7 linked regions of the Oryctolagus cuniculus genome follow. The protein of the gene in region 2 interacts with the protein of the main gene of each other region in a pairwise test. Links are inferred from orthologs where the notes say so. Each region holds a gene or a part of one and is shown on either strand. Other genes may lie near its edges.

Region 1 (3,500 bases), on a different chromosome or scaffold from region 2:
ATGGGTGGCAGGAGTCCTGTTACTGAGCCGTCACCACTGCCTCTCAGGGCCTGCATTAGTAGGAAGCTGGAGTCATGAGCTGGGTTTTGAACCCAGGTACTCTGCCCCGGGACCCAGGTGTGTTAACCACTGAGCCCAAAGCCCAGCTGGCTGTGTAATTTGAGCCCTGCAACCACAAAGCATCCCACAAATCTGAGTGGCCTTCAAAACATTTCTAAAAAATGTAGGTTATGCTAAACAATGCATGGTTTTCTTTTTTAAAGAAAATTTGCAATTGAAGAAAACTTACCTTTCGATTCCATTTTTCCCTGAACTTTTAAAAGTACCCTTGTAGAACACGTAATGGGAACTCAACTTCCTCTGATGGTCCCGAAAGTCCTCCCTTGCCTATTGGCCAACTGTAGGTATCAGCCTCACAGCACCTTAAGTGAGCAGAGCGGAGGCCGAGTTTTGCCAGGGGCCCAGCTGATGGGCGTGGGAAGAAGACAGGGCTGGCTCACTCTCCCACCCTGGCCTGGGTGGGTCCTGCTCAGACCCTCAAGGCCTGGGCTGTGTGCCTTGAAGATGCACTGAGCTGTAGGCTTGTTCTTTAATAGTGCTTGCTTCTCTCTTGTCTGCCAGTTCTCCCAGTGTACAGACAGAATCCAACACCTGGAGAAACAGTTTCTAAATCCTGAGGGTCAGAACAGAACCCGCTTCCTCTCGGGGAAGGATATGACCGAAGAAGAAATAATGGAAAAATTAGATGAGGTGAGTGTCGCTGCTAGACATCACCTCCCCGTGCCCCCTCGTTGGCACCTGCAGTCCCACAGAGGCTGCGTGTCATGCGGGCAGGCCTACCCTCAGCTCACAGGGGAGAATGTCCCAACTTGATTCAGCCACGTAGTGCGAGAAGGCAAAAATCCAGTGGTTTCCAGAGTCCAAGGGTTCCTTCCTCTTACAGCCCCAGAGGAGTGGTTCTGGCCCCTAGAATGGTTTCAGCTGCCTTTCTCCAGGGACCAATAGCAGGAGAGCTGAAAGACACAGGTGCTAGCTAGGGACTAAGCAGAGCCCTACCCCACCCGGGGCAGGACCCCTAGAGTGATCTGGAAGGGGGATACCCGTGAGGTCTTTCAGCAAACGTGTCTCCTCCTCTCTTCCTGTTAAAACTGTTTTTCGACCGTAGCTGGAAGTTCGGCTGGCCAAAAAGGAGGAGCAGTTACTGGAGAAGGACTTCATCTACGAACAGGTGTCCCGGCTCACGGACAGGCTGTGCAGCAAAACTCAGGCCTGCAAGGAGGACACGCTGCTCTTGGCCAAGAAGGTCTGCCGGCCCCGCCCCCTCCCTCCGCTCCGCTCCTCGGTTAGAGAATTGCCTAAAAAAAAGCTCCCATCTCAGTTGCTGACTCGATTCACTTGCTAGTAGGAAAACCTAAGCTTTGCGGTAACAGCTTGGGAGTCTGATTCAGCAAGATAATTGCTCCAACATGACCCTGTAGCCTTTCCAGTTCACGTGCTTTCTAGTGGCGGGAAGGCCTCCCTTTCCCATCCAACCAAGCAGCTCTGCTCCAGAACTCGGCCCGAACCAGCAACGGGGGAGGGGACGGGGACTGGTCACGAAACGGCAGTCACACCATGGGTGGGGGAGGGACCACCGGGCCCCCTTGGGAAGGAAAGGTCAGTCCCATGGCGCTTCCTCCTTGAATAACCTTAAAATACCAAGACGCGGGCTTCCAAGCCACAGGGTCGAGGAGGAACCGATAGAAAGTTCCACTGAAGGACACAGCCAGGGGGAGAAAGGCTGGGGACTGGGAGGCAGTGTCCCGAGACCGTGCACCCCAGAGCAGGTGGACCCCCAGCCCTTGCAAGCCAGCGATATCATAGTGACTGAACACACTCGTGCCTGCTCCCTCAGGCTGAGCCTGACCACGCATGTGTGTGCGTGCGCGCGCACACACCCCCCAGAGGCCTTGTGAAGACATAATGGTAACGCTCGCACCCCAGGCTATGGGCTCCTAAGGGCAGCCGTTATCTCTCATTGTTCTGGTTTCCCAAGACGTGGAAGCAAATCCACTGAACACGTACACAGGCAGTCTTGTTCCGGGAACAGTTCCAGCAACTACCCGGAAAATGACTTCAAACCTCGGGCTGCCTTGGCCACCCTTCGCCCTTGGACTTCAACCCTCACGGCCTCCGCTGATCATGCATCCCAGCGGCTGCTGCGTCATCCACAACTCTCCCTCGTGAAATCAGGAATGCTAAGTGTGCTTAAGCTCAGGAACGCTGCCTGAATCAGCCTTGCCCGTGTTTCTTTAAGCGTCATCTGTCTTCCTGTTGCAGAGTCAATTTCCTTTTCTTTGGGGAAGTCGTTTTCCGGAATCTCTCTGGAGGCAGCCACAATGCTAGAGAAATGGAAACAGGGGTCGCTTGCTGCCAGAGACGCTCCCAGCGAGCTGAGTCCGAGCCTCTGATTAACCTCTCTCCTCCCCCAACTTCCATGCTCTCCATTTGCCTCTGCTCGCCACCCACAATCTCTTCATAGTAGGAAGAACTGGCAAGTAGTAGAAAGACATTTAGACCTATGAATGATCTGAAGTCTCAGTTTCCTCATCTGTGAGATGGGTGTGATATGAGCTAAAGCTGTTGCAAGTCTTACATAGCTGAGCATGTAAGTGTCCTTAGCCACTTAGGGGTATCACTTTTCCTAAATAGCTTATGGCTCCTTGTGCCAGTTTCCCAGGTGAACAGCAATATGGGAAGTCTCAGAACTTGATACCAAGCTTATTTGAATTTATGGAGGAAAAAGGAGGTTGGCCAGTTTTGCACACACAGACACACAAGTGCATTAACTGAATTAGATTTATGGTAATGACTTAGCATTGAGGCTTTACAGGACAAGTCTTTTTCACTCAGTACATGCTTCCTTAAAAATCAGTTCCGGGCCGATGCCGCGGCCCACTAGGCTAATCCTCCGCCTTGCGGCGCTGGCACACCGGGTTCTAGTCCCGGTCGAGGCACCAGATTCTGTCCCAGTTGCCCCTCTTCCAGGCCAGCTCTCTGCTGTGGCCAGGGAGTGCAGTGGAGGATGGCCCAGGTGCTTGGGCCCTGCACCCCATGGGAGACCAGGAGAAGCACCTGGCTCCTGCCTTCGGATCAGCGCGGTGCACCGGCCATAGCACGCTGGCCGCGGCGGCCATTGGAGGGTGAACCAACGGCAAAGGAAGACCTTTCTCTCTGTCTCTCTCTCTCACTGTCCACTCTGCCTGTCAAAAAAAAAAAAAATCAGTTCCAAGCAGAACAGTCATAAAAATTTATATTCCCTGCTCCCTTAAGGGAGTTTGTCTACAATAATCAGTTACTACATTTTCAGAGGCCAGGAATGCACCAACACCAACATTTCTCTCAACAGATGTGCAGCTATGACCAGCGTATGCCTATTAAGAGAGAAAGGTAGGGATAGTTTGGGGCATGAAAATGAGCTTCCCCAATCTGTCCTGGTCCATTCATTCCTTCAGAAAACA
Region 2 (3,739 bases):
GCTGGAGCCCCTGTCTCCGCGCACCCACAGCCACGCTGGAGGCTCAGGGAGTGGTTCTAGCAGTTCTGGGGCGGATGGGGAGCCCTGGGGGGGTCAGGTGAGTGCGAGAGGCGCAACCCGCAGCATCCAGGCAGGGGAGACCCGGATCCTGGCTCTGGGGGGTTGCATGGCCCTGGGTTCTCGGTGGCCATCTGGCTGGCTCAGGGCACACGTCCTCCCTGCAGGACTCCCTCTCCCTGGCTCACCCGCTGCTCCGGCGCATCCGGAGTGACTCCAGTGTGCACATCCTGGGCTCTCTCCCCTCGCGACCCCTGGCCCCCGAGATGCAGATCCTGGAGGCCCAGATGGAACAGCTCCGCGGGTGAGCGCCACCACTGCTGAGCTTTTAAGGGCACCGGCCGCTGTCCTGCCGCCCCGGGGATGGGCGTCTAAGCCCCGGGGATGGGCGTCTAAACGGGGTAGGAGCGGGGTGGAAACTGGCCCCTGGCTGCTCCCCCCCTCCAAAGAGTCCCCTCGTTTTCCCTCTCCCTCCCCCACCCCGAGACAGAAACATCGAGAAGCTCAAATGCTTCAACCGGCTGCTACTGGCCGTGCTGCAAGGGCGCAAGGGCCGGTGTGAGAGCCTCAGCATGCGGCTGAGCCAGCGGGAAGCCGAGGCTACAGCCCTGCGGCTGGCGCTGCAGGACAGGTCAGGGGAGAGGTCCCCGCGGGGGAGGGGCCGCGAGCCACGGCGTGGGAGGGCGCTCAGGACCCCCGTCCCGCAGTGAGCACCGTGAGGCCGTGTGCGCGGCTCTCCTGGCCCTGCACGAGGCCAGCTCCGGAGCGCGGGACTTGGAGGCCACTGAGAGGGAGGCGTGGCGGCTGCTGGCACAGGAGGAGGGCGGCGCAGACGCCGCGGCACCGCGGAAGGCACAGCCAAGGTAGGCGCCCGGGGACCGCGCTGGGCCTTGGGGCTCCCCGGGGCTGGCCTCCGTGATGGCCTGCGGCACCCACTCCTCCTCTCCTCCCGCAGCCCCGAGGGCAGCAGTGTGGATAAACCCACACCGCAGGAAGTGGCCGCCCTGCTGCAGGGCTATGCCCGGCGTCTGCGGCAGCGCCAGGCTCTGGTGAAGACCCCCCCAGAGCCGGGCCCCACCGTGGAGCCCACGCCCACCATGCCCCACGCAGAAGCCATGGTGCAGGCCATGCTGGAAGCCCAGCCCGGCCCGGCCCTGCCGCGGTTGGAGAAGATGGAGATACAGAGGGAACTGGTGGCCACACGGGTACACAGGGGCTGTGGTCCCTGGGGGGGGGGGGTCAGAACCGACAGAGGTGTGGTTGGGATGGGGAGGGGGAAAGGTTCTGCTGGGCTGGGAAGGGCTTCCTGGAGGGAGAATTGAAGCTGGGGTTTTGAGGGATGAATAGGAGTTTTGTTACTCACAGACCTCTCAATCCAGTTTTTCCCAAACGTGCTCGCCAGCCTCAGTTTCCCCTCCCCGACCCCTCAGGAGACCCTGGCGGACCTGATGTTGCAGCTGCAGCTGGTGCGGCGGGAGAAGCGGGGCCTGGAGCTGCGGGAGGCGGCGCTGCGCGCCCAGGGCCCCGCCCACGCACTCCTGCTGGAGCAGCTACAGTGGGAGCGCGCGCAGCTGGGAGCCGCGGGGCCCCACAGCGGCGCGGGGGACAGCAGCGGGGCGGGCAGCAGCGAGGAGGAGGAGGAGGAGCGGCCCCAGGTGAGCGGCCCTTCGGGGGTCGCTGCCCTTGGCCCCTAGGGGTTCAGTGGATGAGAGAGAGAGAGGGAGAGAGGTCTTCCATCTGCCGGTTCACTCCCCACATGGCTGCAAAGGCCGGGTCTGGGCCAGGAGCCGGGAGCTCCATCCGGGTCTCCCACGTGGGCGGCAGGACCCAAGCCCTGGAGTCGTGGGCCCCTGCCTCCCAGGGGGCGCATGCGCAGGGAGCTGGGGCGCACGCAGATCAGCTGGGACGCCACCAACACTCTGATACGGCCACGGCTGTCCCAGGCAGCAGCCCGCCCCGCGGTGCCACCACACCGCCCCTGCCCCAGGCTTCTAAACGGGGCTCTTCGCATCACCCCTCCCACCTGCAAGCCGGTGCTGCCACCAGGAATGTCCACCGTCTCCAGGAAGCCCTCCTGGGTTGCCCTCAAAGGAGCAATATTCGGCACCCCACCCCACCCCGGCCCTGTGACTTATCTCCCTTATCAGGGACTTGAGGGTCTCTTAGCAGAATGGGGGCTCTGGGAAGCGAGGGGCTCTGGCTGCCCCCCCCCCAGGCCAGCTTCTATGCCCAGGCTGGGCTGAGCACTTCTAGACAGAGGTCACCTCCCTCCCTTCTGTCTCCTACAGGGTCCTCCTGCTGTCCCCAACGCCACCGAGGGAGGCCAGGTGGGCAGGGCGTGGGACCCGGAGAGGTTAGCCCAGGAGCTGGCCGCTTCGCTCGCCAGGTGTGTGCCTGGGTGGGTTCTGCGGAGGAGGCGGGGGTGGGGACGTGTGTGTGTGTGTGTGTGTGTGTGTGTGTGTGTGGTGTGGCAGCGTGCGCCTGCGCGCAGGGGCGTGGGGAGCGGAGAGGAGGACCGGGTCGGGCCGCGGCCGGAGCCCCGCTGTCTCCACTCCCGCGCCAGGGCCGCGGATCTTCGCGCTCAGCTGCGGGCTCTGTGGCGGGAGCTGGAGCAGGTGGCTCAGAAGGGGCGCGTCCGGCGGGCTCAGAGCGCCGAGCTGAACAGCGATCTATGCAAGGCGCACAGGTGGGCCGCCGCCCCCCGCAGCCCACCCCTGCTGACCGCGGGTGTGTCCCTGGGCCTCGTTCCCCCCACTTGGAAGATAGTGAGCGGGTGCAGTGCAGGCCACGCCTTTCCTGCAGGATGCCCGGAGCCAGCTAGGACGTAGCCCCGCCCCCGCGGCGCCCCGCCCCGCCCCCGCCGCAGCCCTGGGTGGGGTGGGGGTGCTGTTCTCTGGGGTGGGGCGCTGTTCCCCGGCTCAGCCACCCACACCCTGCAGTGCCCTGGTCCTGGCGTTCAGAGGCGCCCACCGGAAGCAGGAGGAGCAGCGGCGCAAGTTGGAGGAGCAGGTGGCAATCCTGGAGGCCCGGCAGGCGGAGGAGTTGGCAGCACTGGAAGCCACGGCCCGGGCGCTGGAACAGCCCGGGTGCCCCTGCCCGCCTCCTCCCCCCCAGCTTGGGGAGACCTTGCTGTAGGCTCCACCCCCAGCCACGTGTCATAAACCGGCCTGGAGTGACTTGTCGCCCTGGGGTGCATGTGTCCTCATGGGTGGGGACCGGTTGCCTGGGCCACCGGGGTCAGGCTGTGAAGGTCATGGTCTCCCCCTCCCCCCCCCGGGACCCGGAACAATCAATCCAGGGGACAGGGAAGGTGGCAGAGCCCGAGCTGATGTCCCCAAGTCCTTTCTTTGTCCAGAAACCCAGGGCGGGCCCCTGGGGACAGGACACTCGTCCCCTGCCCATCTGCTTCCCAGGGAACAATCCAGAACAACTGGAGGCCCCCAAGGTTGGGGTTCAGGTTCAGGTTCAAGGCGTGGATGGTCGGCTGGAAGAGGAATCAGGGTTTGTGGAGGCTGAGGGCAGGCATCAGAGAAAAGTCTGGAACTCTCGATGCGTGTCCTTCCGGGGAGGGGGTGGGGCACAGGCCTGCCGGGCCCTGGGCAGCCTGGGAGCTTCCAGATCTCCCGCGGAGGTTGGGGGCAGCGGGAGGCGTTCCTGCCAGGTTAATTGCAGGCGACTGATT
Region 3 (3,500 bases), on a different chromosome or scaffold from region 2:
TCTAGTATTGATTAAAGTTGATATTGATTGTTTTAAAATTTTTTTTAAAATTTTTTTTCTTTATTTTTCAAATGCAGAGACAGACAGACAGAGATCTTCCAATGCTGGTGGACTTCCCAGATGCCCATAACAGCCTGGGTTAAACCAGATAGGCCAGGAGCCTAGAACTCAATCCAGATTTCCCATGTGGGTGGTAGAGACACAAGTACTTGAGCCATGATCTGCCTCCCAGAATGTGCATTAGCAGGAAGTTGAATCAGAAATGGAGTAGTGGCCTGCGCTGCACCTAATCCTCTGCCTGCGGTGCCGGCACCCCAGGTTGTAGTCCCGGTTGGGGCGCCGGATTCTGTCCCGGTCACTCCTCTTCCAGTCTAGCTCTCTGCTGTGGCCAGGGAAGGCAGTGGAGGATGGCCCAGGTCCTTGGGCCCTGCACCCGCATGGGAGATCAGGAGGAAGCACCTGGCTCCTAGCTTCGGATCGGCACAGTGCACCGGCTGCAACGTGCCGGCTGTAGCGGCCACTTCGGGGGTGAACCAACAGAAAAAGGAAGACCTTTCTCTCTGTCTCTCTCTCTCTCTCACTGTCTAACTCTGCCTGTCAAAAAAAGAAAGAAAGAAAGGAGGGAGGGAGGGAGTAAGGGAGTAGCTGGGATTCAAACCAAGCATCCATATGGGATGGAGGTTTCCCAAGCAGCAACTTAACTGCTGTGTGCCTCCTTATGTGTTGCTTTTATTAGGAAAATACAAATGACACTAAGTGTGCTCGCAGCATTTGCTTCATTTAAATTTCATGAAAATTATATCACTGTTTTCTTCTTTTACTCTTTTTTGGAACTGGATGGGGGGTCAGCATATAAAAAAAGATGTAGGTGTTTCTGTGCCTTAATATTATAGAAAATTAAGAGAAAGGAATGGTATAAAAGTCTCAGTTATTAAATAAAACCTTTTCCCTGACATTTCTTTTGCTTAGAGAAGTTATGATATCTTTACTGTTTCAGTATAGTCAGAAAAAAATCAAGTAATTCAGTGTAAGGAAACTTGATTTGTGACATGTTACAGTATAAGATGATTAGGGTATGGAATTCCTGGAATAACACATTGAAGGTTACACTAATACAGATATGTTTTCATTATTAATTTTAGGTAAGGGTTGATTGCTTAATGAAAATTTATAAATTACTCATGTTTTCTTATCTCTTTCTTTTTAAACAGTGGTAAATGAGAATGTCAGTCTTGTGATCTCACGACAGTTGCTGACTGATTTTTGCACACATCTGCCTAACCTGCCTGATAGCACAGCCAAAGAAATCTATCACTTTACCTTGGAAAAGATCCAGCCTAGAGTCATTTCATTTGAGGAGCAGGTAAGAATCTAGAACAACAGTTTTTGAATTTGAGATAGCGGCAGTTGCTTTGAGAATCTGATGCTATTAAATTCCTAATGGAGATAATTGTGCAATTTGATATTTGATGAAATAGAATCTCAACCAGCGTTTTTTGCTTTTAAAGATTTATTTTATTTGTTTGAAAGGCAGAGTTACAGAGAGAGAAAGGGAGAGACAGGGAGAGATCTTCCATCTGCTGGTTCACTCCTCAAATGGCTGCAATGGCCAGGGCTGGGCCTGGCTGAGGCCAGGAGCCAGGAGCTTCATCTGGATCTCTCACATGGGTGCAGAGTCCCAAGCACTTAGGCTATCTTCTACTGCTTTCCTAAGTACATTAGTAGGGAGTTGGATTGGAAGTAGAGCAACCGGGACATGAACCAGAACCCATATTGGATGCTGGCATCACAAGCAGTGGCTTCACTCACTGTGCTAACAGTGCTAGTCCTGTCTACCACCATTTTACAGTGTAAAATCTAATAAATATTAGAATGTTTGCAATTCCACCTGACATTTGCCCATATATTAAAATTTGATCTTACCAGTCAAATATTACTCTTTAAACAGTTTTAAAAAGTCAGTATAAAAAATTGTTATTAGACTACACACGGGAAACTTCAACATCCTATATGCAGAGACATAAAAGCAAATTTTAACATTTAAACTAAAATATTACCATAACTCACATTGCAGAAATGCATTGTTTCATTTCACTGCTTTGATATTATGTGAATGCGAAATTCATAGAAAAATTTGGGTGGTCTAGATAAACTTTGATTTGCCACCCTGTATGTTGAATAAGAGCATTGTCAAAATGGATTAGTTTATCATCTATTTATTTTAATTGACTAATGAGTTATGGTTGAAGTAATTTAACATGTATACCTTCTATTTCAGGTTGCTTCCATAAGGCAGCATCTTGCATCTATATATGAGAAAGAAGAAGATTGGAGAAATGCAGCCCAAGTGTTGGTGGGAATTCCTTTGGAAACAGGACAAAAGTATAGTAAATAGTGGATATTGAATGAATATATATACATATACATACACACATATAGGATATATAATTATTTACCTACATTTTTTTCTTACATTCTAATACAGGAAAGAGATAAACAAGTTATAAGTAAATTTTGTAGTATGTTAAAAGATAAATGCTTACTTACAGAGAAAAGTAAGGGGAAAAGAGGGGACAGATTGTATATATCATTAAATTGGGTAGTAGGGTGGTCCTGATGTCACTTTCCCAAAGATTTGAAGGAGAGAGGGTAGTGGATTAGAGCTATTTGAGGGAAGCACATCACTGGCTACTCAGAGAGATGGTTAATGCAAAGGCCCTAAGATGGGAACATGTATTTTCAAGAAGAATAAGGAAGGGGCTGGCACTGTGATGTAGTGGCTTAAGCCACCGCTTGTGGTGCCACATCCCATCTGGGTTTGGTTCAAGTCCTGGCTGTTCCACTTCTATTCCAGCTCTCTGCTAATGTGCCTGGGAAAGCAGTAGAAGATGGTCCAAGTGCTTGAGCCTCTGTACCCACGTGGGAAATCCAGAAGAGGCTTCTGTCTCCTGGCTTTGGCCTGGCCCAGCTCCAGCCAATGTGTCCATTAGGGGAGTAAGCCAGTGGATGGAAGATTCTGTCTCTCCCTTTTTCTCTGTAACTCTGACTTGCAAATAAAATAAATCTTTTTTAAAGATGTATTTATTTATTTGAAAGGCAGAGTTAGAGAGAGAGAGATTGATCTTCCATCTGCTGGTTCACTTCCCAAATGGCCACAGTGGCTGGAGCTGAGCCTATCTGAAGCCAGGAGCCAGGAGCTTCTTCCAGTATCCCATGTGGGTGCAGAGACCCAAGTATTTCTGCCATCTTCTTCTTTTATTTTTAAAGATTTATTTTATTTATTTGAAAGAATTACAGAGAGAGGTAGAAACAGAGAGAGAGGTCTTCCACCCGCTGGTTCACTCCCCAGATGGCTGCAATGGCCAGGGCTGCGCCAATCCGAAGCCAGGAGCTAAGAGCTTCTTCTGGATCTCCCACGTGGGTGCAGGGGCCCAAGGACTCGGGCCGTGTTCTACTGCTTTCCCAGGCCATAGCAGAGAGCTGGACCAGAAGAGGAGCAG
Region 4 (4,144 bases), on a different chromosome or scaffold from region 2:
CACTGGCTACCTGCTGAGCAACCCAGCGTCCACACCAAGCAGTGGGTGACCACGATACCCGTGCTGCCTGTTGTTAGGGGACCCACAGCACACACAGTGACAGCCCAGGACCACAGTGGGGGAGACACAGGCAGAGGAGCCGGGGAGGGCTCCCCAGAGGGGACCTTTGAGCTGAGTTCCTCCAGTGAGAGGCACCTGGGAACCGAGGGCACATTTTCAGCGTGAGGAAACAAGTTTAAAGAGCCCGAGGCCTGGGCCAGTGCTGTGGCGTGGCAAGTTAAACCACCGCCTGCAGTGCCCCATCCCATATGGGTGCCAGTTCAAGTCCTGGCTGCTCCGCCTCTGATCAGCTCCCTGCTAATGCGCCTGGGAAAGCAGCAGGGGACAGCCCAGCACTTGGGCCCCTGCCACCCACACAGGACACCCAAGTGGAGTTCAAAGCTCCTGGCTTCGGCCTGCCCCAGCCCTCACCGTTGTGACCAGCTGGGCAGTGAACCAGCAGATGGAAGGTCTGTTTTACTCTCCGCAACTCTGCCTTTCAAATAAATAAATCTTTAAAAGGAAAAAAAGCCGGAGACCTTTCACTCTCCATGTTGAGGGCTTGCTGTGCACCTGGCGCTGTTGTAGGCCCCTGGGGTGCAGCAGGGAAGGAAGACAAAATTCCTGCGAACGCGGAAACGAAGCCCGAGTGAAACCATTTCACAGAAACTAGCAGCGAACCCGGGCGAAGGACAGACCGGGAACGCTTCGGGGCTGACGAGTTTAGATTCTGCCTCTGGGGCAGCGGGGAGCCGCGAGCAGCCCCTGAGAGAGGGAGAGACCACGAGAGGACGTGCCGCTGAGTCCTGGGGACCGGGAGGCCCCCGGCTGTGCGGGAGGGGCGGGACCGCGGTCACCCAGGCAACGCAGGCCGCGCCTAACTATTGGCTGGCCTTTAGCTGCGTCATCCCCCAGCGCCCAGCCGCGCCCGGGCTCGGAGCCTCGGGGGCGTGGCCTCCGCGAGTGACTCGGCCCCGCCCGCCCGGAAAGCGGAGCCGACAGCGGCGTAGCAGCCGGTCTTGCCGGGTGACCGGTCCGAGCTGGACAGGAAGGGACGGCAGAGAGCAGCGCTAACGGCCCGGGAGCGAGGGCCGGGGCTGAGCTGCAGGGAGCGGTTTCGGTGCGCCCGCCCCCCCCTCCCTCCACACGTGGCCCCGCCCCGTCCGAGTCGGAATCCTTTAAATGGTCCTGGGCGCTCCCGAGGGGCGGGCGGCGGGGGCAGCTCGGGAGTCCCGCGGCGGCTCCGCCCAGCCAATCGGCGTGCCGCGGCGGGCAGGCTCCAGCCAATCGCAGCTCGCGGCTCGGCTCCGGGGCCGGGCTGGGCGGGCCCGAGGCCAGACGGAGAGGCCCCGGGGCAGCGAGCGCGACTCCTACCCGGCGCTGGTGGGGCGCGGCGCGGCGGGCGGAACGGAGCTGGTCGCTGCGAACTGGTAGCCGAGGTGAGCGGCGGCCGCCCGGCTCAGAACCACACCCGGGGCTGGGGGCGGTGGAGGCGGGGCCTGGGCAGTAGAGGAGGGCGCTGATGGAGGGCGACTGGTAGGGGCTGGGGGACCCTGGACGGGAGGCGAGATGCTTTAGGCAGGATTTTCAAGGGGCGAGAGTTTGAGCTGCGACTCGAGATGTTTGGAGAAGCGAGAGAACCAAGGCGAGGAACTTTTGGGGCAGGGAATCCGAGGACTAGGACAGTGTTGGACTCCCGGGTGGGTTGAATTCGGGGCTCTGTGGCTTCCTGGGAGAAGATGTGAGAGGTCTTCCAGGGCTGGGACACCGAGCAGTCGGAGAAGCAAGGGGACCGGCTAGAGCCGGGGGTTCTCGGAGACCCCGAGACGCAGAGGCGGGCAGAGGGCGCTGAGGAGAGAGCTCGGTCTTCGGGGCTTGAAGCGGGACGCGGAGTTTGGAAAGTGAGAGGACGGAGTTGGGGGTGTGCCTCAAAATTAGGGCGCGCCGTCTCCCGTACCGGCCGGGTCGGAGAGCGCTCGTCGTCTCTGACCTGGGTCCCTGCACCCCGGGATAGTGGGGGGGAGAACTGGGATCCGCGGAACCCGCAGAGTGGGTGGGGGAGGGGCGCTCCGGGCGTGGAGGCACCGGAGGGGCGGGGCGCGGCAGGCGCCCGGCAGCTGGACGTCCGGGTTCCCATCCCCCACCCGGCCGGGCCCCTCTGCGCATGCCCTAAGGGAGGGCGGGGCCGTCCTCCGGTCGGCGAGCTGAGCCCTCTGGGGACTGTAGTGCCGCTACCTGGCGGCTGTTGGCCCGGGCTTCCCAGAAGCCCCCGGGCCAGAAAGGGGCGTTCCTGCGCGGCGATCTGAAGCCGTGGGAGGGGCGGGGCCTGTGGCGGCGCCACGGTCTGGTTGGCTGGGGCCCCCGGGGGCGGGGCTTGGCTAAGTTTCGTGGCGGCGAGTTTTCCTCGGGGCGCGCAGTGGGGGAAGGCCCGAGCGCGGGGAGCGGGGATGATTCGTTCCCCTCTCGTGAGCGCGTCCGTTCGTTAGGGAAGAGGGCATGGACAGAAATGCCCTGCCTGCGAGAGAAGAGTCAGGGCTCGGAGGGGCCCTAACGGAGCTCCAGGCAGCTCTGTGGGACACGCACTCAGCGGAGTAAGTGGCGCCTGAGCGCTTTGTGTGTGCTGGGCCTGGGCACGTGGGAGCTCCCAGACGAGGCGGTGAGAAGCAGTTTTACAGACGAGGAGACTGAGGCCAGCGTCACGCAGCTGAGCAGTGTCCAGGGCACAGGTCAGCCCGGGATTCCCCACTTGGATTCCCCACTTGCAGTCCAGGTCTCTGCGCCTGTCTGTGGGTGACTTGCCTGAAGAAGTGAGAGTTGTGGAAGAACGGTTTCTAGGGTTCGGAAGGACTTCAGTTAGGACCTTGTTCCACAGAGGGGGATGCAGGGTCACTGAGGGCAACAGGCGGGGGCGGGGGGGGGGATCCGAGCCCAGCTTTGCTGGCATCCTGATCACTTTCCTCCCCTCCTTAGCCTGTGGAGTTCAGGTTCTCTCGCTTCTACAGATGAGTAAACAGGTTCCGGTCATTAAAACATTCACCATCAGCTGCGTGAGCCTGCCAGAGAACGCGGGGTTGGAACCGGCCCTGGTGCGTCTGACCTGACCCTCTTCCCTCCCCAGGGCACCGTCATGGTGGGGGGCCTGAAGAGGAAACACTCCGATCTGGAGGAGGAGGAGGAGGAGCAGTGGGCCTGGAATCCAGCGGGCCTTCGGAGCTACCAGCAGGCCCTGCTCCGCATCTCTCTGGACAAAGTGCAGCGCAGCCTGGGCCCGCGCGCCCCCAGCCTCCGCAGGCATGTCCTCATCCACAACACCCTCCAGCAGCTGCAGGCCGCCATCCGCCGGGCCCCCGCGCCCACCCTGCCCCCCGAGCCCCTCTTCTTGGGCGAGGAGGATTTCTCCCTGTCGGCCACCATTGGCTCCATCCTCAGGGAGCTGGAGACCTCGATGGACGAGACCGAAGCCCCGCAGGGCCCCCCGGCTCCCCCGGGCCTGCAGAATCCAGTGCTGCCCCAGCCGGATCCGGTCTTCCTAGAGGCTCTGAGCTCCAGGTACCTGGGGGACGCGAGCCTGGACGACTTCTTTCTGGACATCGACACCTCTGCGGTGGAGAAGGAGCCAGCACTGGCCCCGCCGGAGCCCCCTCACAACCTCTTCTGTGCACCAGGCTCTTGGGAGTGGAATGAACTGGATCACATCATGGAGATCATTCTGGGGTCCTAAGACACTGACTGGGGGGCCTTCCTCTGGGCGGGCTGGATCCCCGGGTACCACTCTGTGTGTTTTGCTGGGGGCTCAAAGCAGGGACTGTGGCCCCCTCGCCTCCCATGTCAGGGTTCCACAAACAGTCTTGCATGTGTGTGTGTCTGGTTAGCGCAGCCTTCTGTGAAGGTGCGTCTTCCTGAGTTAATTTATCTCTTCCAAATGCCTTAACCAGGACTGCCTCTGGGAGTCCGATTTCCCACTTACACATTTCTTCTGCCTCTCCCTCCACTTCCTGCTCCTCTTGTGACCCCTGGCGCCCTCAGGGCAGATGAAGCTGGGCCCATCAGAGGGGGCAGGGATGTGCTGCCAGGTTGCCATGGAAACCCAGTCTCTGCCTCTGGC
Region 5 (3,981 bases), on a different chromosome or scaffold from region 2:
CTCACTACTCTTCTATGAAAAATGTAAGCTTGAGGCCAGTGATGTGGTGCAGCAGGTTAAGCCTCCACCTACAGCACCAGCACCCCATTTGGGTGCTGGTTCGAGTCCCAGCTGCTCCCTCCTGATATGCCTGGGAAAGCAGTGGAGGATGGCCCGAGTCCTTGGGCCCCTGCACCCACATGAGAGACCTGAAAGAAGTTCCTGGCTCCTGGCTTCAGCCTGGCTCAGCCCTGGCCATTGCGGCCATTTAGGAAGTAAACTAGCAGATATAAGATATCTCTCTCACTCTTTCTCTCTCTCTTTCTGCCTTTCAAATCTTTATTAAGATTTATCTATTTATTTGAAAGGCAGAGCTATAGAGAGGCAGAGGTAGAGAGGTCTTCCATCCGCTGGTTCACTCCCCAAATGGCTGCAATGTCCGGAGCTGCGCTGATACAAATCCAGGAGCCAGGAGCTTCTTCCAGGTCTCCCATGTGGGTGCAGGGGCCCAAGGACTCGGGCCATCTTCTACTGCTTTCCCAGGCCATAGCAGAGAGCCGGATCGGAAGAGGAGCAGCCGGGGCTGGAACCAGCACCCACATGGGATGCCAGCACTGCAGACAGCAGCTTTACCTGCTACGCCACACTGTTGGCCTCATAAGTAAATAAATCTTAAAAAAAAATGTAAGCTCAAGACATAATTGAGTAACATATTATGCTCTAACTTCTCCTCATCCATCCTCAGAATCAAGGAGACTGAAGAGAGAAGGCGAAGGAAGCTCATGGTATTGTTGTCATTGCTACTGCTGGATAGACCTCACTCTCTCAATCCAATGCTTGCCTGTCTCCCACCTCCCCAGACCAGCCTCCCAGAGATGAGGTGAACTTAGCACCAAGATGTTTATTGCTCACTTCCAAGAAAAGGGGAATAAACCCCTACCAAGTCCTGAAGCCTCTGGCCTAGAATAGATTTTTTTTTTTAGGGGAGGAAAGTAAGGGATCCCACACCCAGGATCAAGGTCAGGGATGGAGGTAACATGATCTAGAAGATTCAGACAAACCCCTAGGGCCCTCAGTCCTGCATATTTTGTAAACCCTTCCTCCCAACGTGAGGCAGCCCCCCAACAAAACACAGCTGGAAACATGACGCAGACCTCTCAGACTCTCCAACTTCTAGAGAATCAATGAATAATTGAAGGTGTTCTTTCACACCCGGGGAGGGCAGGGGGCTGATGAACAGTTCCAGGCCCTCCTAGGGCAGGGCGAGAAATGCAAGGTCTATGTGAGATCACTGGGGTGCAGGTGTGGGAAATCCCATACAAAAATCCTATCAGCTACACAAGACTCACAAGGCTGCTTCTTCACGCTAAGGAAAGCACTTGTGATGTACTTCAGAGGTCTTAAGACCCGTAGAACCTTCAAGTTTATGGGCAGGGAATAATGGGACCCCTGCCCTGAACTCAGAGGGGATGGGAAGTAGGTATTAGGAAAGGGAGAGGGAGATCTGACAGAGTGTGGAAGAGGGGTCTAGGGTTGGGATGGGATAAAGCGACAGGAAGGGAAGGAGTACAGAGGACAAGACAGAAACATCTTGGGATGGAGGTCAAGAGGCAGGACAGGAAGTGAGCCAGAACACTGCTCAGGGGATGGGATGGCTAAGATTCAAGACAGGGTTAGAGGCAAAGTACAACAAAACAGCAGGGCGGGGGACAGCATCCCTACAGAACAGAAGCCAGTTGTCAAGGGAGGGAACAGGAAAAAGGGCAGGTTAGGGATAGAGGTCAGGAACAGGAAAAGACCAGGAGAGAGTGAGGACTGGAATGAGAATGGTGATGGGACAAGAAAAGGGGGAAAAATAGGACAGGATTGGGGCCAGAGCAGGAGACAGAGAGGGACATATACAGGTGGTAAGCTGGGATGGAGACTGGAGTAAGGAGAGGGACCAGGGGCACAGTACAGGGCAGGGTGAAAGTACCTACGTCAGGTTAGGAATCAGGACAAAACTGGATCAGATTGGGGTTAAGGAAACAAGAGGGGCGGAGGTTCAGAGACTGGGTAAGAGTTAAGGTCAAGCACCAGGACATAACAAGATGAGCCTCAAAGCTGAGACGGGCTCAATCAAGAATCAGAGATCAAGTCAAGGATGCTAAGGACAGAACTGGATGGGGTTTGGGGTCCTGACTGGATTTAGGGGGACAAAACAGAGGATGAAGATCCCACCACCCCAGAATGTGGTTAGGTTAGGGGTTGGACCACAGGTCCTGAGGCCAAAGCTGGCTGGGGTTCGAGATCTCAATAACATGTAGTCAGGTCAGAGGGGGTCAGGGGTGAGGCCACGGGGTCAGAGGTCGTGAATGCCAGCGCAGGTATATCCTCACCAGCGTTTCCGGGCCCTCAGCCCACCCAGTCCCCTCCCTTGCTCCCCAAGTGTGTGCGGGGGTCTTACTCACCGAAGGTCCTCACCCAGAGGCGTAGGCGGGGTCGGTGCAGGCCGGCAGGGGTAGTGGGCGCGCCCGTCCCTCGCTGCGCCCTGCTCGTCCCCGGGCGCGCGCCTTCTCCTGTTCCGCGCCCTGCCCGTGGGCCGCGTTCAGCCGCGCGACCGTTACCGTGGGGCCAGACGGGGGGCACCCGGGGGGTGGGAGAGGAGCGCCGGCCAAGCCGCCGGCGCTGGGCCCCCGCCCCCCACCCTGCACTCGGGTCCGCCCGCTCCCGGCGGCACGACCACCGCCGCCGCTGAACGCGAGCTTCGGGGTGGGGGGTGCGGGGGGCGGGGCGCGAGACCACAGCAGCGGCGAGGACGAAGTGCGCAGGCGCCAGGTCGGCTCTTCGATTTTCCTGCCCTGGGAGCGCCAGGAGTGAACAGGCTGGGAGCGCGTGCGCACAGACTTTCTTTAGGGCGGCGGAGTCCTCCCCCAGCCCTGCCATGGCCACGCCCCCTCGGCGAGCAGATAGGCACCCCCCCATAAGTCACTCTGCACGGACCCCTAGGCGGTACAAGCTGTACCCCATGCTGCTCTCTATAAGCCATCACCACACCTCTAAACTCTCCCAGCTTTCCTTGTCGCCATCCCCAAATGCACCCCAAACCACTCTCCATCACCCTCAAAGTACTGTCCACTGATCCGAAGCAGGACCTCTGATTTATCTTCCATGGACATCCAAGCTGCACCAATAAACCACCTCCCATTGACCTTCAAGCTGTGCCTAAATCACACTGTATTGACGCCAAGCCTTTATCCCTTAAATGACCCTCCATGACTATCAAAATTACACCCAGATCACCTATAGAATCTCCTGGTGCACCCCCAACTGTGTTCCCACAATCTCCAAATCACTCTCCATTTATCTCTGAATTTCAATCTTCAAACTATCTTTCGTTCATTCTTTCTTTTTTCTTTAAATGTATTCCCCAATTCAATGTAGGCTGTCACAAAGAGAAAGTGCAGGGATTTTTCTTTCACATCCTGGTGCAAACCAAAAGAACAACAGCAAATTGTTCAAGGTCTATCAGTGGACGCAGTAAGCTATCTTTCATTATCCCCCAAATTATGTCTTCAAATTACTGCCCATTGATCCTAAGTAGTACCTCCAATCCATCCTCCATGGACTTCCAAACCGCACCAAAACACTACCTTCCATTACTCCCAAATTGTTCCTCAAACCGTCTGCAGTTAGCCCTGAAGCCATTAGCCTTCAAACAGCACTTCCAAATCATCCTCCAAATGCCTCCAATGTGCACCCAAAACACTGTCCATTGATCCCAAACCACTCTCCATGTACCCTCCAACCATACACTATGAATCCCCTACTGGCTCTGCAAGAGTCCATAACACCACTCCAAATATTACCAGCTACCCTCAATGTGGGCGTCACTCGCACCTCAAATCAATTCCAACTGTCACTTGCTCTGTCTCCAAACCATGCTCTATGGATTCCACCACCATCAAATGACCTTCCATTGACCTCCCCTCCTGTCCTCACAAAATTGCCTTGCAGAACCCC
Region 6 (4,227 bases), on a different chromosome or scaffold from region 2:
TGAGAGAGACAAACTTGTATTCTGGAGGCTGGTGCTGTAGTGTTGTAGCCTAAGCCTCCGTTTGTGGCACCGGCATCCCAAATGGGCACTGGTTCAAGCCCCAGGTGCTCCACTTCCGATTCCGCTCCCTGCAAATGCCTGGGAAAGCGGTGGAAGACGGCCTGAATGCTTGGGCCCCTGAACCCACGTGGGAGACCCAGAAGAAGCTCTTGGCTCCTGGCTTCAGATCGGCACAGCTCTGGCGGTTGCTGCCATGTGGGGAGTGAACCAGTGGATGGAAGACCTCCCCCTCTCTCTGTAACTCCGCCTCTCAAATAAATAAATCTTTCTAAAAAACCAAACTTGCGTTCTGAAGGAATCTATGGCTCTTCTTACTTTTCCCTAGAGCTACCAGAACCCAGAGTCCCAGCAAATCAAGGTTGGAAGGCTCAAGAGGCGATGACGATGACAGCAGGAAATGCTTTATGAAAACGTCCTTCTCTTACGATGCAAGTTCTCATTTAACGTCACAGCAAACCTGCGGGGTGGTTTTCATCCCCATTTTACAGGTAGGGATGGGCGTCAGGACTCCTGGCACCAAAGCCCATACTCAGCTAGACGGCCTCCGATGGCCCTGGTGACATAATGTAATCTGATTTGTAAAACCTAAATTTTACAGAGGCGGCTCTGGGAGGGCGAGGGGAGTGCCTGACCCCACTCTTACGCAGAGGAACTAGCATTTGAGCCTCTGCAGGGCGCCGTCTGGTCGAGAAAGAAACGTTTAGGGGGCCAGCACTGTGGCACAGAGGTGAAGCCTCCCCCTGCAGTGCTGTCATCCATGTGGGCGCCCCTTGGTCCAGCTGCCCCACGTGCCATCCAGCTCTCTGCTAAGGCCTGGGAAAGCAGTGGAGGATGGCGCCAGTACTTCGGCCTCTGCACCCACGTGGGAGACCTGGAAGAAGATCCTGGCTCCTGGCTTCCATCAGCAGTTGTGGCCATTTGGGGAGTGAACCAGTGGATGGAAGACTTCTCTAACTCCACCTGTCACATAAATCAATAAATCTTTAAATTAAAAAAAAAATAAAGAAAAGAAAGAAACGTTTATGAAGCACCTGCTTCGTTTGACTTCATTCTCAAAACAGCCCCTTCGAAGTACTGCGCCGATCTCTGGGAAGCCAGAGACTCAGAGGGAGAAGGAATTCTCCCCAAGATCAATTCAGCACAGTAATGGCGCCGTGGAGGTCACACAGTTAGCTCAGAGGCTTCCAGCAGTTTCGTTAACCGAACCCCAGGTTCTCCCCACGCGGCGTCTCCGGAGCAGCACCTAGGAGCGAGCACCATTTCCGCAGACCCGAAGCGGCTCATCCAAGCGGTGCATTCTGGGATTTTTAGTGTCCCCCCCCCCCCCGCCAACCCAGAGAGGCTAGACCAGCGGGCCAATAGCATTCGAGCACCGGCGACTGAACCCGCCTTCGCTGCCTGCTGGTTGTTCAGAGACCCTTTCGAAGTAGCCAATGAGAAGTGAAGGGGTCTTGGTCGCCAGGGAAACCGCGTGACAACAAGATGGCGGCGCCGCGGGACGGCTCCTTGGCCCTGCGTGGTGAGTCCCGGCCCAAGGCCTTCCTGCGTCAGGAGACCCCTACGCAGACCCGAGCTCTCGCTCCGAGAGCCCCGAGGGCCCTCTAGCCCCGCGGGGTTGCCCCACTCCCAGCAGGCGTCCTGCGTCCCTCGAGCGGATTGGGGGCCACGCTTACGGCGACTACGTGTGGAAGCGGGAGGAGGCAACGCGGCCGCCTGGGAAGGGTTAAGCCGTGATGGACGTGCATTTTCCACTGGGATTAGGGAGTGGAGGCGAAAGACCGGCAGGCCCTAGGGCCTGGGGGTGACGGAGGACACTGTCAGTCATGCACGGTACTGAGTTCTGTCCCCAGCATGTCGAGGCGCCGAACATAGCTTTACCCAGAAATTCCGGTCCGAAGGGGAAGACAGCGCCTGCAAGCCCGAGAGCGAAGCGGGGGAGACAGGGCTGTGTCCCCAGGAAGCCCCAAGCTTGGGCGGGAGACGACACGGCCGTGCCCTTGGGAGCCCGCAGACTGATGGGGAGACCCAGTGTTTGCTCGCGGGGGGTCTTTTGTAATCCACATGAAGATGGATCCAGACACCGGGCTGGCGGCCAGCGGCCACCACCGTGACAGCCCCCGGCCAGTGAGCGTCCCACCAGGGTGACCGACAGTGGGCGACACTCCAGGGCTTGGTAACGGATGGGATTTTGTGGTTGGATGATGGGGTCCCACAACAAGGGTGGAATTCCTTTTTTAAAGCGATTAACGGCTTTACTGAAATTCACCCCTTTACTGTGTGAACGTCAGTCACTTTGGAATACTTTAGTCTGCACAGCGGGCCTTTTGTATCTCCAAGGTGTGGACGTCTTTTTCTCGTTAGTGTTCCCTAAGCAACGGGGTGTAACATTCCAGTCACCCGCTACATAGGGCGTTTTGGCTAATGACAGGCCACATAGACAAGGGTGTTCCCGTAAGATTGTATTGGCGCTGAGAAGATCCTACCGCCTAGTGACATGGTAACCATGGTAACATCATGGGCACCACGTCCTCACAGCCTTTGTGGTGATGCCAGCGCTGCCGCCATATAAAGGCATAGCAGGTGCAACTATGTACAGTAAGTACTGCTTGATCACGATAATAAATGACTGCTACTGGTGTATGTGTTTCAGAGCGTACTCCTACTTCTTAAATTTAAAAGTTAACTGTGAAACAGCTTCAGGCAAGTCCTTCGGGAGGTGTTGGGCGCAGGCATGGTTGTCGAGGGAGATGACAGCTCCATGGTGCTATCACCCAGAAGCCCTGGAGAGGGGAGACAGTGACGCTGATGGCGCTCACCCTGCATGGGCCTACACAAATGGGTGTGTTTTGTCTGAGTTTTTAGCCACAACTCATGGTTTTGTTTTGTTTTGTTTTGTTTTTTGACAGGCAGAGATAGACAGTGAGACAGAGAGACAGAGAGAAAGGTCTTCTTTTTTCTGTTGGTTCACCCCCCAAGTGGCCGCTACAGCCGGTGCGTTGTGGCTGGTGCACTGCGCTGATCCGAAGCCAGGAGTCAGGCGTCTCCTCCTGGTCTCCCATGGGGTGCAGGGCCCAAGCACTTGGGCCATCCTCCACTGCCTTCCCGGGCCACAGCAGAGAGCTGGACTGGAAGAGGAGCAACTGGGACAGAATCCGGCGCCCCAACCAGGACTAGAAACTGGGGTGCCGGCTCCACAGGCGGAGGATTAGCCTAGTGAGCTGCGGCGCCGGCCCTCACAACTCATTTTTTAAGCGCTTCCTTTGGGCTTGGCATAGGGTTGGGTGCTCTGTGTTATCCGCATCCCTGCCTGGCTGTCACTGTTCCTGCTATCCCCATTTTACAACAAAGGAAACAGGTGCAGCTTGTGCCAGGGGGTGACAGAACCTGTCCAGAGCCCAAGTTCTTTTTCCCTTCTTTATTTGAGAGGCAGAGAGAGAAAGAGGGGACTCCCGTTCACTGGTTCTCTTCCCAAATACCTGTGACAGGCAGGGCGGAGCTAGGGCTGAAGCTGAGAACCTGGAACTCAATCCAGGTGTCTCATGTTGGAGGCAGGAACCCAGTTCCTTGAGCCATCACTGCTGCTTCCCAGGGAGCCAGAGCCCAGAAGCAAACCCAGGCACTCCAGTGTGGGAAGTAGGGACCCTGGCCTCTAGGCTAAATGCCCACTCCAGGGCCCAGAGTCCAGACTTTTGTTTTTAGTCATAGTTTTAATGATTTTGTGGCTTTTCAAAAAATTTTATTTATTTATTTGCAAGAGTTACACAGAGAAAGGGAGAGAGAGAGAGGTCTTCCATCCATGGTTCACTTGCCAGGCAGCTGCAGTAGCCAGGTGTGGGCCAGGTTGAAGCCAGGAGCCTCCTCTGGGTCTCCTATGTGGGTGACAGGGGCTCAAACACACAGGCCATCCTCCACTGTTCCTCCCAGGCCACCAGCAGGGAGCTGAATCAGAAGTGGACCAGCTGAGACACAAACTGGCGCCAACATGGGACGCCAGCATTGCAGGCGTCAACTCTACTTGCTATACCACAAGCCAGCCCCAGAGCCCAGACTTCTTTGTTTGTTGGTTTTGTTTTTAAGGTTTATTTAGTGGGGCGCGCATTGTGGCGTAACAGGTTAAGCCTCCACCTGCGATGTTGGCATCCTATATGGATGCCAGTTCGAGACAAG
Region 7 (4,187 bases), on a different chromosome or scaffold from region 2:
GTGTCCGTGGTGCGGCCAACTCCAAGAGCCCGCGCCCTCGGCAGCCAGCCCCAGGCCCCCATCGCCAAGACTGGGGCCGTGGGGGCTCCCTGTCGGTGTGAACTGTGGTGAACAGGACAGTGGGCTCATACGGGGCGCCCACCACAGGTGGTGTCCTGCACGGCGGGGAGTCTGCTAGAAGGACCCTGCCCCCAAATGCTCACCTGTCCTGCAGAGCCAGGGTTGAGCCCAGTCTGCTGGATTCTACGCCATCAGCATTTGTTTTGTTTTGTTTTTTGTTTTTTGCCTACTTGGTGGTACCAGGCCGTCCTGGGCAGGACCAGCACAGAGCATGCCCTGTGCAAAATGCAGACGCTCACGCATTTAGGCCAAGAGCCACTCGCCAAGCTCACAGAGGTCACCCCTGTACAGGAACCCCGGGGAGGTCAGAGGGCAGCCCCCCAGAGGTTCCAGGATCCCACCACGGCCCTGAAATGACAGCTGGCGTCCAAGGGGCTTGGCTGGATGTCACCGGCCCACCCCAGATGCCCCGTGTCTGCACCCGCTAACAGGGGCCCACCCAGCAGAGCCTCCAGGCTGTGCCACCTTGCTGTCCTTGCCGCCAGCATCGGGGCTGCGCCGTCTCAGAGCTTGGCGGCTTTCACCTCTGGGCTTGGCCCAGCTTGCGGGGGGTGGAGCAGGGGAGGAAGGAGAGAGACACAGCCCCTTTCCCTCAAGTGAAAGCAAAAGGCAGTGAGGCTCAGTGGTCACAGGCTGGAGCCAGCAGGCCTGGACGCAGAAGCCCGGCCCTGCCACTCCCAAGTGGGTGACCCTGGCGAGTGTTTGTCCCCCGAACACGTGCGTCCTCGAGGGAGGGGGCATAGACTTGAGGATGAGCTGAGGCCGTACAGCAGGGGCGGGGAGGTGACCGGAGGCGCTCAGGTCCAGGCGCGGGGCTCCTGGCAGAAGGCAGAGGCGTTCCTGGTCAGGGGGCCCTGAGGGAGGGGACTGCGTGGGCAGCGGGCGGGCGAGGGGGCAGCACTCACTGCCTACAGGGTGTGAACTCCCACACAGGGGGGAGGGGCTGGGGAGAGGGCTCAGCAGACTCTGTGCTGGTTGCCGCGGCCAGGGCTGGTGGCAGCAAAGCTGTGAGCGCGTGCCAAGGGTGAGACTGTCGGTGCCAAGTGCAGCGCCTGCCCCCGCGTGGTCTCACGGGGCCCTCACGGCAGCCTCGAATCCCTGCTGCACAGGACCATGGCCGAAGCTGTGAGACCACTCAGATTTGCCCGCGCTGCTGAGCCAGCACCCGTAGCTTCCGGCTTCTGAGCCCACCCCCTGCACCTGCGGAGGGGCATGTGTGACTTGGCCCTGGCCTGTGACATCACACAGCGTTGCCCAGGTGACCTGGCCGGGTCTCTTCCAGGTCTGGGCAGAGAGAGGGCCTCCCCTTTCATCACCTTCCTGAGGGCGCCTGGAGTCGAGTGCCCGGCTGGGGACCCTTGCCCAGCTGGCCATGGCCCACATCCCCCAAGTCGCCCCCACCTCCACCCCCTCTCGCTCCTGAGAAAGCTCTGGACCCCTGCCCCCAACCTGCGCCCCACCCCTGCCCCGTGCTCAGATCCAGGACTGGTATCTGGCACCCCTGTGAGCGCAGGGACGCCCAGCACCACTTGCCACCCCCAAAGACACCAAGGCTGCAGGGCCAGCTGTCCAGGCAGGACGGACGCCTGGTCACTCACAGCACCAGGGACCCTTCCCCAGGGTTGTTGACCAAAGCTGGATGCCCCTGCCCCCGAGGCGATGGGACTGAAGAAGAAAAAGGTAAGGTGGGGGTGCACGGTGTGTGCACAGCACACTGCCCCTCGCATGCAGCCCCTCGTTCTGACGACTCCCGAGCCTGCGCACCAACGTCCCTTCTCACAGCCTCAGCTTTCGCATCTGTGAAATGGGGCCCCAGAGGGTCTCTGTGGTGCCTCCAGGGTGGGTGTCCTAGCACCATGGGCCAGTGGATACCTGGCTACCACTGCCCACACTGCTGGTTGCTGGGGTCACACGGGCTCAGAGAGCCCCCTGAGATGGGGCCTCCCCCGGGTCCCTCCCTGGCAGGGCTGGCTGCCAGGCTCCAGGCTCCTGCCCCAGGCTCCTAGCTCCTGCCCTGGGCCCTTGGAGAGAAGGAGCTGTGCTGTGCTCACTGCTGTGTCCCCAGCGCCTTGCACACAGCAGGTGCTTAATGAACCCTGTGGCCGAGCGCAGGTCTAACATCCAGAATCTCGGGTGGGACCAAGTCCTCCGCGTTGCCGAGCCTGGGACAGCAGCGTCATGTCCGCGTGGCAGCAGGCGGGGCTGAGGGCTCTGAGCACCTAGGGACACCCCCTCTGCACTTGGGCTCTCCCGGGGGGGCCAGAGCCCCCTGTGGCACCTACATTCACAACCCTGGATTCCGACGCCTCTGGTTCCGGGCTGCCGTGCCCAGAGCAGGCCCCCCCAGGCACCCTAAGCTGTCGGCTGGGGCCCCCTCCCCACCAAGCTGGGTTCAGGGATGCAGAGCGTGGCCTCGAGTGTGATTCGTGGTTCCGGGGAACACATTTGACAGCGGCCGGAACTCCCTAGGAGCTTCCTAATGTGTAGCGAGGGTTACATCTTCCTGCCTTTTTTTAAAGATTTATTTTGTTTATTTGAGAGGCAGAGGCAGAGAGAGAGCTCTTCCATGTACTCATTCCCCCGAAGGACTACAACACGGGCTGGGCCAGGTCAGAGTCAGGAGCCGGGAACTGGACCTGTGTCTCCCACGCGTGTGGCGGGGACCCAACTGCCTGGGTCAGCACCTGCCACCTTCTCACTAGCAAGGAGCTGGGTTGGAGCCAGAGCAGCCGGGACGCGGTCGAAGGTGGCGGCCTTCCCCGCGCTGCGCCGGGCTCCAGCTGCACCCTGCCGCTCCCCGGCCGGTCCTGACCCACACCTTTTAATGGTGATGTTCGCGGAGCTCAGGACCCCCTGAGGACTGGGGACATTGGTCTTTTTGTAGACAGGGCGCCTATTTGCCCCCACGTGTCTTTTCTCTGCATTGTGGTGAATTGCAGCCATTCTAGAAATTTCTGGGGAATTTCAAATGTAATCCCACCCCTCAGACTGCCCTTGATGGTCTCCTGCTTTGAGTCCCTTTAAAAAAAAAGAATTTATTTATTTGAAATGCAAAGTTACAGAGAGAGAGAGAGAGAGAGATTCCGTCTACTGGATCACCCCCCAATGCCCACATCAGAACTGGGCTGACCTGAAGCCAGGAGCCAGGAGCTTCCTCTGCGTCTCCCACGTGGGTGCAGGGGCCTGGGCACCCCGGGCCGTCTTCTTTTACTTTCCTGGGCACGTTAACAGGGAGTTGGATCGGAAGTGGAGCAGCCGGGACTCAAACCTGCACCCCTGTGGGATGCTGGCGTGGCAGGCAGCAGCTTACCCCGCTATGCCACAGTGCTGGCCACACAGGCCACTGCTCTGGCTGCCGCCAGCCCTCCCGAAGATCACAGCTCCGAGGCCTCCATGAGGCGGACCCCAGGATGGGCCCCAACTGCAAACAGGTGTTCCAGGTCCCGCTCCGCTGCGGCGGGCCCTGCTGTATGCTTGGGGGCGGGGATTTTGTCTCTCTGAGTGCCCCACCCCCAGCTATAAAGGGGCTTTACCTGGGCATCAAAGCTCCCGGCAAGAGGCAGGCACCTGGTTAAAACGCCACTTGGGAACGCCCACATCCCATCTGGCTCCACTTCTGATTCCGGCTTTTTGCGTGTCTGCTGTGTGCGATCCAGCATGGGGGTGGCCGACGTTTGTAAACTGTGAAGTGCTGTGCACAGGAGGGACCTGGCGGGACGGGTGGGCAGAGCTGAGCGCATGGGAGAGACTGACCGGCCGCTTGATGTGGCGCGTGGTGTGGGACCGGGGAGAGAACGGGGATCGGAGGTGACAGCCGTGCCGCCCCAGAGCAGGTGGAGGAAGAGCGAGGGAACTGGCAGCTTATAGGGGACAGAGGGACAGAGCGGAGGGGGGGCCACTCAATGCTGCTGTCCCCGCAGGTTGCCGAGGGCCCAAAGGAGCCCCTGGACGTCGCCCTGAGCACGGAGCCCACCGCCAGCCACCTGGCTCCCCTCAATAAGGAGGTGGTCGCAGTCACCATCCACGGGGCCACCCACCTGCCTGCCTGCGGGGACGGCTCCGAGCCC

What was found.
Region 1: the proteins of USHBP1 (region 2) and CCDC146 interact in binary tests that used the Homo sapiens proteins (3 or more experiments, as listed by UniProt). The two-hybrid records come from large-scale screens. The link is inferred for Oryctolagus cuniculus from reciprocal best matches to the Homo sapiens genes USHBP1 and CCDC146.
Region 3: the proteins of USHBP1 (region 2) and COPS4 interact in binary tests that used the Homo sapiens proteins (3 or more experiments, as listed by UniProt). The two-hybrid records come from large-scale screens. The link is inferred for Oryctolagus cuniculus from reciprocal best matches to the Homo sapiens genes USHBP1 and COPS4.
Region 4: the proteins of USHBP1 (region 2) and SERTAD3 interact in binary tests that used the Homo sapiens proteins (3 or more experiments, as listed by UniProt). The two-hybrid records come from large-scale screens. The link is inferred for Oryctolagus cuniculus from reciprocal best matches to the Homo sapiens genes USHBP1 and SERTAD3.
Region 5: the proteins of USHBP1 (region 2) and CCDC120 interact in binary tests that used the Homo sapiens proteins (3 or more experiments, as listed by UniProt). The two-hybrid records come from large-scale screens. The link is inferred for Oryctolagus cuniculus from reciprocal best matches to the Homo sapiens genes USHBP1 and CCDC120.
Region 6: the proteins of USHBP1 (region 2) and UBXN11 interact in binary tests that used the Homo sapiens proteins (3 or more experiments, as listed by UniProt). The two-hybrid records come from large-scale screens. The link is inferred for Oryctolagus cuniculus from reciprocal best matches to the Homo sapiens genes USHBP1 and UBXN11.
Region 7: the proteins of USHBP1 (region 2) and CCDC33 interact in a two-hybrid assay, tested with the Homo sapiens proteins (2 studies listed by BioGRID and IntAct). The two-hybrid records come from large-scale screens. The link is inferred for Oryctolagus cuniculus from reciprocal best matches to the Homo sapiens genes USHBP1 and CCDC33.

What each region holds. Positions count from the first base shown.
Region 1 is NC_091434.1:141,755,154-141,758,653, forward strand, and holds part of CCDC146 (coiled-coil domain-containing protein 146), read left to right. Parts: intron 1-621; coding exon 622-750; intron 751-1,165; coding exon 1,166-1,303; intron 1,304-3,500. UniProt on the Homo sapiens protein: Essential for sperm flagellum biogenesis and male fertility.
Region 2 is NC_091447.1:65,254,492-65,258,230, reverse strand, and holds the end of USHBP1 (harmonin-binding protein USHBP1), read left to right. Parts: coding exon 1-97; intron 98-224; coding exon 225-361; intron 362-547; coding exon 548-688; intron 689-764; coding exon 765-920; intron 921-1,012; coding exon 1,013-1,262; intron 1,263-1,487; coding exon 1,488-1,712; intron 1,713-2,345; coding exon 2,346-2,443; intron 2,444-2,620; coding exon 2,621-2,743; intron 2,744-2,996; coding exon 2,997-3,192; 3' UTR 3,193-3,239; downstream 3,240-3,739.
Region 3 is NC_091439.1:82,801,268-82,804,767, reverse strand, and holds part of COPS4 (COP9 signalosome complex subunit 4), read left to right. Parts: intron 1-1,211; coding exon 1,212-1,363; intron 1,364-2,278; coding exon 2,279-2,382; intron 2,383-3,500. UniProt on the Homo sapiens protein: Component of the COP9 signalosome complex (CSN), a complex involved in various cellular and developmental processes.
Region 4 is NC_091449.1:13,879,284-13,883,427, forward strand, and holds the start of SERTAD3 (SERTA domain-containing protein 3), read left to right. Parts: upstream 1-1,344; 5' UTR 1,345-1,478; intron 1,479-2,393; exon of another isoform or gene 2,394-2,765; intron 2,766-3,009; exon of another isoform or gene 3,010-3,157; 5' UTR 3,158-3,166; coding exon 3,167-3,760; 3' UTR 3,761-4,144.
Region 5 is NC_091453.1:34,200,861-34,204,841, reverse strand, and holds the start of CCDC120 (coiled-coil domain-containing protein 120), read right to left. Parts: upstream 2,801-3,981; 5' UTR 2,430-2,800; intron 1-2,429. UniProt on the Homo sapiens protein: Centriolar protein required for centriole subdistal appendage assembly and microtubule anchoring in interphase cells. Together with CCDC68, cooperate with subdistal appendage components ODF2, NIN and CEP170 for hierarchical subdistal appendage assembly.
Region 6 is NC_091438.1:145,170,679-145,174,905, forward strand, and holds the start of UBXN11 (UBX domain-containing protein 11), read left to right. Parts: upstream 1-1,427; 5' UTR 1,428-1,542; coding exon of another isoform or gene 1,543-1,579; intron 1,580-1,593; exon of another isoform or gene 1,594-2,655; intron 2,656-4,227. UniProt on the Homo sapiens protein: May be involved in the reorganization of actin cytoskeleton mediated by RND1, RND2 and RND3. Promotes RHOA activation mediated by GNA12 and GNA13.
Region 7 is NC_091443.1:109,375,177-109,379,363, reverse strand, and holds the start of CCDC33 (coiled-coil domain-containing protein 33), read left to right. Parts: upstream 1-1,387; 5' UTR 1,388-1,779; coding exon 1,780-1,800; intron 1,801-4,040; coding exon 4,041-4,187.